Linked DNA regions of Oryctolagus cuniculus. The protein of the gene in region 1 purifies or fractionates together with the protein of each later gene. This does not show direct contact. Links are inferred from orthologs where the notes say so. Each region holds a gene or a part of one and is shown in the gene's direction. Other genes may lie near its edges.

Region 1 (5,165 bases):
TGCCCGCGACCTCGGTCAGCCGGACCGCACGGGGCGCGGCGCGGGACCCGCCCCCGCCCTCGCAAGTCCGCGTCCGTGCAGTGCCGCAGTCCGCCTCCGCCGCCCGGCCGGGCCCCCTGCGGGCGCGGGGTCCCCGCAAACACTGGAGCCTCAGCGCCTGCTGCTCAGGGACATTCCAGCAGCCCGCCGCGGAGACCCGCGCCGGTGCAGGCTTCCAGTCACTTACGTGGAGAGAACCAAGCAAAGGGGGACGCGCCCGGGGTCCCCGAGGCAGGTGCGGGTGCGTCTCTGCAGTGGCTCCGATCCCGAGCGGCAGGACCCGCGGCGGGACCCGGGTCGACGCCCCCCTCTGCGCTCCTCTGGGCCCCTCGGACACGCCCCCCCACTCCGGGTCCCGCAGCCCCGCACCGTGCACGCACCACTGCCGCTCCCCGCAGCCGCCCACGTGGTGGAGCTCAAGCCGCGCGAGGCCTGGGGGGCGCGCTCCAGGCGCGCCGCGGGTCGGGGAGGCCCCCGCCAGGGCGACCCCGCGCGGCCGGCCCCCAGCCCGGGCCCCCGCGTTTCCTCCCCCGAAGGGAGGGAGGCAGCAGCGCGCGGGCTGTCCCTGCCTGGCGCCCGCCGCGCCCTCTGGCGGCCGCCGCGGCCACGCGTTCTGGGCACGCGGGGCTGCCAAGCTGGACCCCCCTTTCCAGGGCTCGGGGTCTTCGGCCCGCAGCGGGCAGTGTCCACCCTCCACCACCCCGTGCCCTAGGCTGAGCCTCGCGAGCCGCGCCCCGGAGCTCCGGGCTTTCCTGCGCGACGCTGTGGGCGCCGCCGCCGTGCGTGGCAAGTGCGGGGTGTCAGAGCCCAGTGGCTCCCCTGGCTCCCAGGTGTGCCCCTCCCGTCGCGCGCGGGGCCCCCCGGCATGCTGCGAAAAAATGCCGCATGCACGCACTTATTTATTTATTTTGCAACAGCTGCACGGAACAATGAGGCTTTTCAAGAACCGGGGGGCGCGCTCTCCAGCCGCGCCGTTGTTTTTCCACGAACCCCGCCGGGCTCCGCGAAACCCTCCCCAGTCCGGCCCCGCCCGACCCCTCCGCGGGCCCCGCACGGGCGCCGGGGGCATTGTTTTTGGAGTCCTGCGGGAGGGAGGCGCGTGCGGGGCGGCCAGCGCAGTGCGGGTGGGGGCGGGCGCGCGCCTGAGTGCGCGAGGGAGCCGGCGCGGGCGGGGGCGCGGCAGGGGCGGTGCCTTGCAGCCTCGCGCCCCACGCCCGGGCTCCGCTCCGCACGTCCCGGGGATCCCGGACTCCGGCTCTTGGCGCGCGCCGGCCTGGGCCCGGCCCTTGGCGCGGCGCGGCTGCGGCGGCGGCCGCTCGGGGGTGCGCGCGGGCACGTGTGCGCGGCCCCGAGGCGCGCGCGAGCCCCCAGTGTGTGGCGGCGGCGGCGGCGGCGGCGCGGCGAGGCTGGGGTTCTTGTTTACCAGCGTTAACTCCGCTGAGCGGAAAAAAAAGGGAAAAAGCCCGAGGAGGAGGGAGCGCACCCGGTGAACTCGAGACGGGCGAGCGAGCGACGGGGACGCCGCCGGCGAGCCTGCTCGCGGCCGGCTCCCCGGGACCCCGGCCCTCCACGCCCCTCGCGCGCGGGGCAGCCCCGCGGGCGTCGCGGCCTTGACCTTCAGCGAGCCGGAGCCCCCGCGCGCGGAGCCCGGGCGGCTGCGGGGAGCGGAGCGCGGCGCGGCCGGCCCGCCGCTTTGTGTGCGTCCTGGATTTGGGAAGGAGCTGGCGGCGGCGGCTGCGCTGAGGGCGGCGGCGCGGTGAGCGCAGCCCGAGCGGGAGGAGGAGGGGGGGGGAGCCGCTCATTCATTTTTACTCCGCATTTGCGCCCCTCGCCGGCCTCCCCCGCCACCGCGACTTGGGAGCGAGCTTGGCACCGCGACGCGCCCTCCCTCGCGGGGCCCCAGGCGCGGAGCCACCTCCCCTCCTCGGGGGTCGGGCTTGTTTTTCCTCTCCTGGACGCACTCGGGCTTTGCCTCTTTTCTGGGCAGTGACCCCCACACACACCTCTTGCCTCTCTGGATTTGAAAATGGAGGCCGACGACGCCGACAGCCCTCCCCAGAGCGCCTTGGGTTCCCCACTCTGCCGAGTCCTGGGCTGCGGCTGCTGACGCCGAGGGGTCTCCCGCCCCGTCTGCGCTGCCTTCGGACCGTTCTTCCTTCGCTCTTGGCTTTGGAGCGAAGACTGCTTTTGAACCCCCCCCCCCTTTTTTTTTTGAGAAAGGGGACTTTCGTTCCAAATCAAAGGAATGAAGTCTGGCTCCGGAGGAGGGTCCCGGACCTCGGCGTGGGGGCTCCTGTTTCTCTCCGCCGCGCTCTCGGTCTGGCCGACGAGTGGAGAAAGTGAGTATGCGCCCGCCGCCCGCGGCCACTGCGGGAACTTTTCTCCGAGGGCCTGCGCCCTGTTTGCGAAACCGGAGTTGCCACCGTCGCAGCTGTCGGGCCCCCGGCTCGGGCGCGCGGGGCGGAGGGCGGACCCGGGCCCGAAGCCTTTGGGTGTGGAGCCCACCGGGCGCATCCCGCGCGGGCAGGGGCTGCGGGGCTTTCTAGTTCGTAGTCCCAAGAGCCCAGCCCGGAGGCCAGGTGGGTGGGCCGTGCTCACTCCGGGCGGCAGGGGCCCGCCCGGGCTCGGGGACTCCGCAGGGAAGTTGGGGCCCGACGCCCTGCTCTCGCCCCGCACGGGACGGCGACTCCCGCGGGCGCGCAGACGGCCCGCACGGCACTGAGGCCGCGCCACGCCTGCCTCTGGGGCCGCCAGGGTGCTGGGAGCGGGGAGCCCTCGGCCCGCCATCGCGAGTTGCCCTCGAGGGCGTCGTGTCCCGCGCAGCCGCCCCGCAGCCGCCGGACACTTTGGCAAACATCCAGGCGCGGCCTCCAGCCGCCTAGTGTGCCTTTGCCCCTCGGGCGACTTCGGGCTCGGGGCGCGCTGCGTTCCTTTGGCCCGTCCCCCGCCCCTGGCGTCCCGGAGATGCTGGAGCGCCCCTCGGGCGGCCCCTGGGCGAGTGCTAGGCCCGGGGCCTCCGTCAGCCTAGTCCTTCCGGGAGCGCGTGTGGGGCCCCAGGACCGTCTCCAGATTCTGTCTGGCCCGAGGGCGCCTTTGCCGCCCCGGGGATTGCGGGGAGGGAGGGGGGCCTGTGATCGGGCAGCGCCCGGGAGTGCGGGAGCGCGTGTGTGGCCGGAGCCGACGTGCGTTTCCACACACGTGCTCGCTCGCTGTCGCCGCGGACTCCCAACCCGGGCCCCGCTGCGCGCGTGGCGCGCGGAGGTTGACGGAGCGCGGGACCTGCGGCGGGGGTTTGCGTGCGAGCGCGGAGCCCTGGCACGCGTTTGGCTGCGACCAGTGTTGCGTGGCACCGCCTCGACCGCCCCGCGCTTCCTTTGTGCAGTTAATAAGCGGTGTCGCCCCACGCGCGCTGTCGCTTGCCATCTGATGGCTTTTGTTTTGGAGGCGTCGGGGGTGCGGGGAGCGAGCGCACCCACGGAGTGTGCAGGCAGGGCCGGGGCGGCGCGGTTATTCTCGGAAGGACCCGAGGTGGCTCCCGGGGACTTCAGGGATGGTAGGATAAGGTGAACGCGCAGGAAGGTTGAAAAGCAGTCGCGGGGCTGGGGCTGGAAACGGCGAGGGCGTTGGTGAGTAATGGTTGCCGCGGGTATGCAGGTGGTGCCTATTAACTGAAAAATCACGACTGAGCGGGGCGGGGGGCCGCCTGGCCCATCACGGGGAGGTTCGGAGAAGCCGTTTCCATCAGCAAGCCCCACTTAGACGTCTCATCGGCGGCGAGCGCGTGATGCGGGGAGGCGCAGATCCTTACGGAATTAGCGTGTTTACTGCGTGGAGGGAGGCGCAGACCCGGGCTCTCCTGCTCTTTGTTTTCCAAACTTTGAGCGCGCGGGATTGGACGGACGGGTTCCTGCTGCCCCCTCCTGAGGCGCGGGGGTGGTGTTTGGGGGACTGGGCGGGGGGGGGGGGGGGCTCTTGGCCAGGACAGCCGAGTGCAGCGTGGAGGACCCCAGAGAGCGAATCCATTTTGTGGCGGCGTGGTGTCGCACCGCGCTGTTTGCTCTCCCTTTCTTACTGACTGTTAGTGAGTTCTGAAATCTAGAACTGCAGCGTGGCCTTGCTTCTGGCCAGGACTCGGAGCCCTTCTCGCGGGGAGTGGTTTTTGGCCAGGGCGCTTTTTCTTGAGAACACAAAGGGGAGGCAGAAAGTCTGTCGATGTAGGTTTTTAAAACCGCGATGCCAAGACGGACCGCTCTTCCCCGGGGGTCTCTGAGGTTGTGAGTTCCTTAGAACCCGACGATGGCCAGGAGGCGCCCTGATCCTCCTGAGGTTTGCTCAAGTCCAGCTCAGTGCCGGCCCCACCCGCTTGCTGCAGTTTTGAGGGCTACAAGAAAATGAGTTCAGTTTTTTTAAAACCCGAAAGGCTCCGGACCACGGGAGAGAGAAGCCAGCCGGGTCCTAGCCGGGAAGGGTGTTCTGGGGGCGGCTGTGAGCGCCGTTATAGGGGTTGGTTCGGTTCCAGGTGCCCTGCCAGCACACTGAGTTTTTTAGCGTTTCTTCTTTGAGCATGACAACTCTAGGGAGAGAGTTTTAGAAAATTTTGAGTTTTTTTTTTTTTTTTTTTGTGGGGGGAGAAAGATGTGGGCATGTTTGTCTCACTATCATAGGAGCAGGGCATTTAAATAAAGGAGATAAAGGAGGTTTGGAAGTTATACGTGGCACCTAAACGTTCCGATGACTGTTTTTTTAAAACAGCCAACATGCACCTTAAAGTTGCCTTGGCCATCTCCGTGGAAGGATTGTCATCTTTTTGCCCCCGGCACAGGAATATCCTGTTGTTAGACAAGTGTCCATTTGTGACAGGTCACTGTTTCAAAGGACAACCCAGAATAAGAAGTTTTGAAAGAGCCCAGTTAGCAAACTCTAGTTCCCACCCTTTGGAGGGCAATAGCAGGTAAAAGGTGTTTTTGTAGAGGGCTGGTGTGTGGCTGGGATTTGGAGTTTCAGAGGGCATGTGCCTGATCTGTCCGAAGGGATTAGAAAAGCCCCACTCTCAGAAACTCAGTAAGGTTGATTAGATTACCTTAGACACGGCGTGAAGCAAGAGAGGTCTGTCACCAAGATCACCT
Region 2 (4,426 bases), on another chromosome or scaffold:
TTGTGTCTGGAGCGTGCACTGAGGGTCGGCCAGGGCCCCAGGGGAGGACATCCATGCTGGGGGTCCCGGGGGGACTGAGCCCCTCACCCACCTTGCAGTGCAGCACCCACCCCACTCCCGCTGGGGACATAGCCCAAGGGACTCAGGCAGATTGGGGGTTTGCTGGCTGGCCTGGCTTTCCCGTTTTACAGGGCAGGAAGCTGAGGCCCACAGTTTGCCACCCCCATGAAGGTCAGGGTGCGGCCTGGGTGTCGGGGTCACAGCCGGGGACCAGGTGCTTCCTTGCCCCGAGCAGAGTTCGTCAGTGGGGACTCAGAGCAGCCCTCCCCTCTCCCCACGTCCTGGACGGACGTGTTATACACCGGAACCGGGATTTCTCACGGGTCAGAGAACTTGTTCTGACTTAGTTTAGGAGTGTCTGTAGCGAGGTTGAACAGCCGTGTAGGGGCAGGTGTGCAGCGGGTTGAGGATGCCCGTGCCACAGCACCTGCGTTTGAGGCCTGGCGCTGGTTTCCTGCTGATGGGGACCCTGGGAGGCGGCGGTGTGGCTCAGAGAGCTGGCTTCCTGCCACTCACACAGGCAGCCTGGATTGGGTTCCTGGCTCCTGGCTTCGGCTGCCCTCGCTGTTGCAGTTCAGTGGGGAGCGAACCAGCGGATGGGAGTTTTCTCTGTGTCTCTGCCTCCCGGATAAATGAATAAAAGCTTAAAAGAGAAAAGAAAAGCTAAATCCATTAGACATGGCGTCTCCTGTGCAGTGCTCCTGGTGAACCACAGGCAGGGCAGGCAGCACTGGAGTGGGTTTTTTTTTTTTTTGCAGGGGGAGGGAGGAGATCTTCCACCCCCTGTTCACTCTCCAAATGGCATCAACAGCCAGCTCTGGGCCAGGCTGAAGCCAGGAGCCTGGAACTCTATCCGGTCTCCCACATTACTTGGGCCATCACCTGCTGCCTCCCAGGCGTGTTAGCACGGAGCTGGGCGGGACTCAGACCTGTGCCTCCGGTGTGGGATGTCGCATCGCAGGCAGCGGCTTGGCGCCCTGTGCCACCGTGGCGGCCCCGGAGCTCACGTGTGCACCTGCTTTCCGAAGGAAAGGGCCTGCTGAGCTTGGCAGTGCGCCCCCAGGGGAGGGGGGCGTGTATGTCCCAGGGTCTGCTCTGTCTGAGGGGCAGCAGAGGTGGTGAATGAATGTGCTTTCTGTTTTTTCCTCTCTCAACTCTCCTGACCACTCCTCCTGCCTCCTCTGACCCACCCAGCCTGCTGGGAGATCTTGCGTCCAGGTAATGTCCCTCGCTTTGGCCTGGTTGATTACCTTCCTGCAGGGCCCAGATACCCCATGGAGCAGGGGCATGGGGCGCTGGGTTGGAAGGACCCTTAGTGGCCGTTTCAGATGGCCAAGGTCAGGTGCGTGCTGATGCCAGAATGCTCTCGAGAAAGACACAGTATCTACTCAGGAAGCTGCGCCCTGCTAGTCCTCAGCTCTCGCCAGCAGCAAATCACTGAATTCCCGAGCTACTGGATTACAGGGTATTTAGAAGTGCAGGCTTTGTGACTTCCCGACTTGCCCGCTGGTGAGCCAAGGAGAGGCCCTTCGGGGAGCCACATTTGTGCATGAGATGGCCTGGGTGCCAGCCGGATAGACCCACCCTCCTAAGATGCACGCCCTGGCTTCTCCCTGGCCAAGCATCCCTGGCCAAGCATCCCAAGAATACTTAGTCCAGTGTGAGAGGAAAGTCATTCAGCTCTGTTCGGTTGAGTTCAGCAGAGGTTTCCGGACCCCAGTGCTGTGCCAGTGAGTGGCGGGGCTGGCGGGATCCACTCTCAGCTCAGCCTACGCCCCTGACTGCTCCACTCCCCAGCCGGACCCTGGAGGTGCCCATGGGTCAGGGTCGGGATGGAGATCCCAGGGTGAAGGGTGTTGCTCCAAGATGGCTTCAGGCCGCTGCTGTCACACAGTGCTGAAGGGTGTGGCCCTGGAGCCAGAATCCTCTGTCACTCCCCATGAATAGCTGTGTAGCCTTGGGCAGGATGCTTTCATCTCCTTGTGCCTCAGTTTCTCCACCCATACATTGGGGGCAATGATACAGTTGTTGTGAGGATTCAACGAGTTGCTTTATGGAAAGTGCCCAGGAGAGTCCTTGGCCGAGTCAGTGCCGTGGAAATCTCTGCCCTCCCTGTCCTGCCCCGCAGGGACCCGGCAGAGAAGGTCAAGTCCAAAGCCCTGGCCGGTGGCTGATGCCTCCCATTCACCACAAACCTGTGTGGACAGCCTTGGGCCCTGGGTCCCAGCTGACCCGACACTGGTAAAATGTACCTCTAGCCGTGCCTCCTGCAGGTGGCAGGTATCCAGGGTCAGCTGGGCACTGTTTTAGGTGCTGGGAGGGGTGGGCACACTCCCAGCCAGGAGTTGGGAAGGGCCGAGGTGGCTGTGGCCGTCTGAGATGGGCGGGGCTCAGGGCACCTGCAGGGCCCCCAGTGGCCATGGTGTGCACTGGCCTGGGCAGTCGTGCCCCCGTGTCCGGGGGCCCTGATCCAGGAAGGGGAAGTTCTGTTTCCATCAGGGACAGGGGAGGAGGTCTCCTACATTCCTCCCCTAGAAAGATCTCCATCTTGGAGAGTGCAGAGTGAGGGCCAGAGAGCCCTCCGCAGCCCTCCCGCTGAGGCCTGGGCTCAGCAGGCCTGGCTCTCTGTTTCAGTGACGTGGCCGTGGAGCTGCCCTTCACCCTGATGCACCCCAAGCCCAAAGAGGAGCCCCCACATCGGGAAGGTGAGCAGGACTGGGAGGGTCCTTGCCGTGAGGGTTTCAGGGGGCCCACTCCCTCCTCCCCTGCCTGCCGCACCTCTCCCTCCAGGTCAGCCTCAGCCTGGTGCACCCTCTCCCCAGCTCCCCAGGATCTCCCGTGGGTCCCACAACTCCCGTCTGCCGTGGGCCCCAGTGGGACACAGCTGGCCCTCACTGTCTTCTCCGTGGGGGAGCAAGGCCTGGGCTGGGTCCTGTGCGCACTAGGGGGAAGGGCTGCGTGGACGAGAGCCCCCCCACCCCCAGCATACCATTCCTGGAGGCGCCCGATTGTTCATTGATATTAACTCCATTTTGAAACACAGCTCAAGTTCAGCGAGGTCAGAGTTAGTGGGAGGTTCGCATGCTAGGCAGTGCACTGAAGTGAGCTGGAGCCAGTACCCCGAGGTTGCCCTGCTCCTGTGGCCACTCAGGGCCCTTCCATGGCCTTAGATGATTGGCAGGCCCCCTTTTCCACGTTCCCCTTCTTCCCTGACCCTCCCCTACTGAGCCTGGCAGTCCCGGGGTGGAGGGCTGTGCCCACTCACCTCCATGTCTCCCCACGCACTAACCCCTGGGCGCCCCCTGCCCTGTGTTCAGTTCCAGAGAACGAGACGCCGGTAGATACCAATCTCATAGAACTTGACACAAAGTAAGCGGAACCCTGCCTGCTGGGGTCTGGGGGGTTGCGGGGCAGGGCGGGGCCGGGGGGGGGCGGAGAGGTCATTTGCATATACGCTTATTAACCCTGAGGAGCAGGTGGTCTAACCCCATCAGCTGAGAGCCGCCTCTGCTCGCCTCCTCAGCAACCCGCTTGCCTGCATGTGACTTGAAGGACCCTCGTGCCTGTTCCTCTTCCTCCTGCCTTGGTGGGGTTTGTCTTCCTTCCTTGTCCTTGCACGTCCGTCCACCCGTCCGTCCGTCCGTCCGTCCACAGCGCCTGCGCCTGCTCGTCTCACACAGGGCTGGCTCGGGGCCCCGCCCACACCCCACCCCACCAATGGAATCAGGCTGCGGGGCGGGCCAGGGTCTGGGACTGGAGGACTGACCCATGGGGTGTGCCATGTGGTCCCGGACAGCGAGAACCACCCCCAGGTGGTTTTCTCCCTCCAGCTCCTGTCCCCCAGGAGGATTCTGGCATGTGGGGTGTCCAGTCTCCCCACCGGGATGCCCCACATGTTGGCGGCAGGATGTGGGGCAGGGAGCTTTGGTGGCTCCCGTGGGGTCCCGAGTAGACAGATTTTAGGGTAGGAGAGAGCCTGCTTTCATAGATGTGGCCTTTAGCCCTGCAGCCCCAGTCAGGCCTCCCCCTCCCACGCCCCGCGCCAGCTCTGGATGGCTCAGGATGGACTGTGAGCCTGCCGCAAGCCCTTTGAGGCTGTCTCGTGCAGTAAGCCAAGCCCACTTCTTCCGGGCCAGAGCCAGGCATGCCTCCCCTGGCCGGGTTTTTGGTGGGTGGGGTTTCTTGGGTCTTGGTGGGGTTGAGAATAGGAGTGAAACTCCTGGGGCCTGGCCTCCGACCTGGAGATCCTTTCTTCTCTGGGCACTGAGGCACGTGGCCAGGCCCCCGAGAACTGGGTCGCTTTTCTGGCTCTTAGCTTCCTGCCCCCAGCCGCTCTAGTCCACGTGTGACCACCCCCACTGCCACC
Region 3 (4,426 bases), on another chromosome or scaffold:
ACCAGTTTCCCTTTTGTCTTTCTTTAGACAAGACCATCATCATGTGGAAGCTGACTAGGGATGAGACCAACTATGGCATCCCGCAGCGAGCTCTTCGGGGTCACTCCCACTTCGTTAGTGATGTGGTCATATCTTCAGATGGCCAGTTTGCCCTCTCAGGGTCCTGGGACGGAACCCTTCGCCTCTGGGATCTCACAACGCAAGTAGCTGCTCACCTAGCTGTGGGATCTTGGGGAAAAGCTGGGAAGAAATGAGGTAGATGGCAATTGGGAGGTTATCTTCCAGGAGAAAGTTGAAGTATAAAGTAAAAACTACCTACAGAAGATAGTTATTCGGGCCCCCTCTTAATTTTTTTTTTTCTAAGATTTATTTATTTGAGAGAGTTAGAGACAGTGAGAGGGAGGGACAAAGAAAGGTCTTTCTTCCATTGGTTCAGCCCCCAAATGGCTGCAGTGGTCAGAGCTGCGCCTGTCCAAAGCCAGGAGCTTCTTCCTGGTCTCCCATGTGGGTGCAGGGGTCCAAGCACTTGGACCATCTTCTGTGGCTTTCCCTGGCCACAGCAAAGAGCTGGATTGCAAGAGGATACCCTGGGACTAGAACCAGTGCCCACATGGGATGCTGGCAGTGTGTCACAGCACTGGCCCCTCAGGGGGCCCTTTGATTTAATTATGGTTGCTGAGAAGTAGTCTGGTTGAATTTTTGAGAAAGGTGTTCCTTTTTCCATTGGTCACCCCCCAAGTGGCCACTGCAGCTGGTGCACTGTGCCAATTGGAAGCCAGGAGCCAGGTGCTTCCTTCTGGTCTCCCATGGGGGTGCAGGGCCCAAGGACCTGGGCCATCCTCCACTGCCTTCCCGGGCCACAGCAGAGAGCTGGACTGGAAGAGGAGCAACCAGGACAGAATGCAGCGCCCCAACCGCGACTAGAACCCGTGGCGCCAGCCTGGTTGAATGTTTTTATAGGTGTAGCAATTTGGAGTAGACAGCGGTTGGAACAAGTTTTATCTTGAATTTCTGTTCTAGATAAGCAGTTGGCAAGTATAATGGAGGATCCTGGTGATGACAGATGACATTGTCAGCCAATCCCCATGTGGGAGTGAGGACATGTCCTGCAATTCTGAAGGGATTCTCTGACATAAACTCGGAAAAGACTTGTTAGTGATGCAGTCCACCGGGATGGGGCGAATGCCAGAAAAATGTTGGTAAAGTTTGTCTAGAGTGACAGAGCTGTCTTTCTCAGGGGCACCACCACAAGACGATTTGTAGGCCATACCAAGGATGTACTGAGTGTTGCCTTCTCCTCTGATAACCGTCAGATTGTCTCTGGATCTCGAGATAAAACCATCAAGTTATGGAATACTCTGGGTGTATGCAAATACACTGTCCAGGTAAAGTGAAGGCAGCAAACACATGTTCAAGGTTCCCATGCACCCTTTCTTTTAACCTTTGCCTTATGTGTTGACTAAAGAGATTCTGTTCTTCATGGTTCAGTTAGGAGATGTGAACACAGTACTGCCAATATCCATTCCACCGAGATCAGGGATGGAGTTCTATAGTTTAAGATAGAAATGTTTTCTCTTACTTCCTTTCCATTCTCTGCAGGATGAGAGCCATTCAGAGTGGGTATCTTGTGTCCGCTTCTCGCCCAACAGCAGCAATCCTATCATTGTCTCCTGTGGCTGGGACAAGCTAGTCAAGGTGAGTTTTGAGCTGGCATAGAGGGCTTGTACAAGCCAGAACCCCTTAGGCATTGTGGATTCCTTCAATTGACTTTTCCTCTTGTTGGATTTACTCAGTACAGACCATTGGTTTTTGACAGTTGGTCTTAAATAGCTAATTGATATCCCTTAAAAGCTTTTAAACAAGGTGCCAAGCCTTTTGCTGGGCTTGACTCTTCTCAGTCCTGGCTGATACGAGCTAAATTGTTCACCTGTAACCCCACCCATTTACACAGGTATGGAATCTGGCTAACTGCAAGCTGAAGACTAACCATATTGGCCACACTGGCTATCTGAACACTGTGACAGTGTCTCCAGATGGATCCCTTTGTGCTTCTGGAGGCAAGGTATTTGGGGGCCAGGAGTCTCAACCAGGGGGACAGTCTCATAGAAAGAATACCTTGGGGCCGGCGCCGTGGCTCAGTAAGCTAATCCTCCGCCTTGTGGCCCCGGTCGGGGCTCGGGATTCTGTCCCAGTTGCCTCTTCCAGGCCAGCTCTCTGCTCTGGCCCGGGAGTGCAGTGGAGGATGGCCCAAGTGCTTGGGCCCTGCACCCCATGGGAGACCAGGAGAAGCACCTGGCTCCTGGCTTCAGATCAGCGCCATGCACTGGCCATTGGAGGGTGAACCAACGGCAAAAGGAAGACCTTTCTGTCTGTTTCTCTCTCTCTCACTGTCCACTCTGCCTGTCAAAAAAAAAAAAAAAAAAAAGAATACCTTGGGTCTTCGACATAAACTATAAACTAAGTATTAGCCAGGTTATTCAAGAGTATGTTTCCAAAGGTCACTTACTGAAAATTACATGGGTGAGACATACTGTTCAAAGGAAAAAAAAAAATGTTTTCTCTGTAAAGTTTCTTGAAGCAATTGATGGATCCTGTTTGGAAATGATCATAGTGATTTTTTTGATAACCCATCAGAAAGTTTATGGGGCTATTGATGTCCTCTGTTAAAGGAAAAGCCTGTAGATATAAATATTGGTAGAGTCAGTAGCTTTCAAGAAAGCCAGGGTACTGAAGGATCTGATGGGCAAGAGAGTTTTGTGGCACGGCCCATTAAGCTGCTGCTTTGAGATGCCCACATCTCATATTGGAGTACCTAGTTCAAGTCTCAGCTACCTTCTGAGACACATCCTGGGAGGCAGCAGATAATGGTTCAAGTAGTTACATCCCTGCCATCCATGTGGGAGCCCTGTCATGTTCCTGGCCTTTGGCCTGACCTAGCTACAATTGTTAGTAGTATTTGGGGAGTGAACCAGCAAATAGAAGATCTATCTATTCTCCTCTCCATCATTCTGCCTTTCAGATGACTAAAATCTTTAAAAGCACATTGATGACAAAATCCTGAGGTGGGTGGGATTGACATCTGGGAGAGGTTACATTGTGCTGCTGACTCACCTTCCCTATCTGCAGGACGGGCAGGCCATGCTATGGGATCTCAATGAAGGCAAACACCTTTATACTTTGGATGGAGGAGACATCATCAATGCTCTGTGCTTTAGCCCCAACCGCTACTGGCTCTGTGCTGCCACAGGCCCTAGCATCAAGATCTGGGTAAGCATGAGATCGAATCCTGGCAATGTGACTTAACATGCCATATGGGTTTGATGCTGGGAGTCCCACATACTAAACAAATGCTAACCATCAAGCTGTTGGTGGAGACCTAGAAAAGTTCCCTGGATTGGGATTATTAATGGAGGGGAATATTTGCTTACTGAAAGGGGTGATTATGTATGGCAGAATACGCAGCCTCTGCATAATGGCTTTTTGGTCTGTGTAATTGTGTAGTGGGTCTGTTTAGTGTTAGCATCCCTGACATCTATCCACAAGATGTTGGTAACAGGCCATGTAACCTCTTCCATACCTAGTAGTTGCAACTGAAAATGCTTGTAGGCAATGCCACATGTCCCCTTGGGCAAAATCATCCTGTTGAGACTCTATTTATAAAAAGGGGCTTTTGAGAGGGGACCTCTGTTACTGAGTTTCTTAAAAAGTATCACTGGTATAAATGTATTAACAGTATCCTCACCCTGGTTTTGACCTATTTCTCAGGACTTAGAAGGCAAGATCATTGTAGATGAACTGAAGCAAGAAGTTATTAGTACCAGCAGCAAGGCAGAGCCACCCCAGTGTACATCTTTGGCCTGGTCTGCTGATGGCCAGGTAAGTCTGACTTCTCACTTAACTCACCTTCCAACATTTCTTCTCTATACTGCTATTTTTGACATAAAGGAAAGTGATTTTTTTAAAATGGCTTGGATGATCAAGAAAGAAATGTGGAATGCATGTTCCTTTCAACTGTGATGTGGAGGTAGTGATTAGCCTTCATTTTTATGCACTGATACTAATTTGATCAGTTTTAAGATGATTGTATTCTTATCAACAGCTGTTTCTTCCTCTAAGAATAACAGCCACCAGCTACAGTCTGGTCATTAGAATTAAGGTCCTTTAAAGAAAAGCCCTCTTTGTTGCAGTGGGACGAAGTTCACAACTCATCCTGTCATTTCTCCCTTGCAGACCCTGTTTGCTGGCTACACAGACAACCTGGTGCGAGTGTGGCAGGTGACCATCGGCACCCGCTAAGCATTTTTGGCATGACTATGACAATAAATTGACTTTGACTTATGTAGCAATTGTGTTTTTCTGAGAAACAGAAATGTTCCATGTTAGATTGGTTTGTCATTTCTCCAAAAGGTTTTTAAAAAATTTGAAA

Evidence for each region. The genes of interacting proteins can lie anywhere in the genome.
Region 2: the proteins of IGF1R (region 1) and ARRB1 purify together in Homo sapiens (affinity purification with western blotting; 3 studies listed by BioGRID and IntAct, with this or other methods). This does not show direct contact. The link is inferred for Oryctolagus cuniculus from reciprocal best matches to the Homo sapiens genes IGF1R and ARRB1.
Region 3: the proteins of IGF1R (region 1) and RACK1 purify together in Homo sapiens (affinity purification with western blotting; 4 studies listed by BioGRID, with this or other methods). This does not show direct contact. The link is inferred for Oryctolagus cuniculus from reciprocal best matches to the Homo sapiens genes IGF1R and RACK1.

The regions. Positions count from the first base shown.
Region 1 is NC_091443.1:8,708,001-8,713,165, reverse strand, and holds the start of IGF1R (insulin-like growth factor 1 receptor), read left to right. Parts: upstream 1-1,973; 5' UTR 1,974-2,284; coding exon 2,285-2,378; intron 2,379-5,165. UniProt on the Homo sapiens protein: Receptor tyrosine kinase which mediates actions of insulin-like growth factor 1 (IGF1). Binds IGF1 with high affinity and IGF2 and insulin (INS) with a lower affinity. The activated IGF1R is involved in cell growth and survival control.
Region 2 is NC_091432.1:66,410,460-66,414,885, reverse strand, and holds part of ARRB1 (beta-arrestin-1), read left to right. Parts: intron 1-1,254; coding exon 1,255-1,278; intron 1,279-2,694; coding exon 2,695-2,765; intron 2,766-3,377; coding exon 3,378-3,429; intron 3,430-3,583; coding exon of another isoform or gene 3,584-3,605; exon of another isoform or gene 3,606-4,426. UniProt on the Homo sapiens protein: Functions in regulating agonist-mediated G-protein coupled receptor (GPCR) signaling by mediating both receptor desensitization and resensitization processes.
Region 3 is NC_091445.1:34,930,546-34,934,971, reverse strand, and holds the end of RACK1 (small ribosomal subunit protein RACK1), read left to right. Parts: intron 1-27; coding exon 28-199; intron 200-1,046; exon of another isoform or gene 1,047-1,125; intron 1,126-1,237; coding exon 1,238-1,385; intron 1,386-1,599; coding exon 1,600-1,695; intron 1,696-1,951; coding exon 1,952-2,062; intron 2,063-3,126; coding exon 3,127-3,267; intron 3,268-3,765; coding exon 3,766-3,876; intron 3,877-4,230; coding exon 4,231-4,296; 3' UTR 4,297-4,342; downstream 4,343-4,426. UniProt on the Homo sapiens protein: Scaffolding protein involved in the recruitment, assembly and/or regulation of a variety of signaling molecules. Interacts with a wide variety of proteins and plays a role in many cellular processes.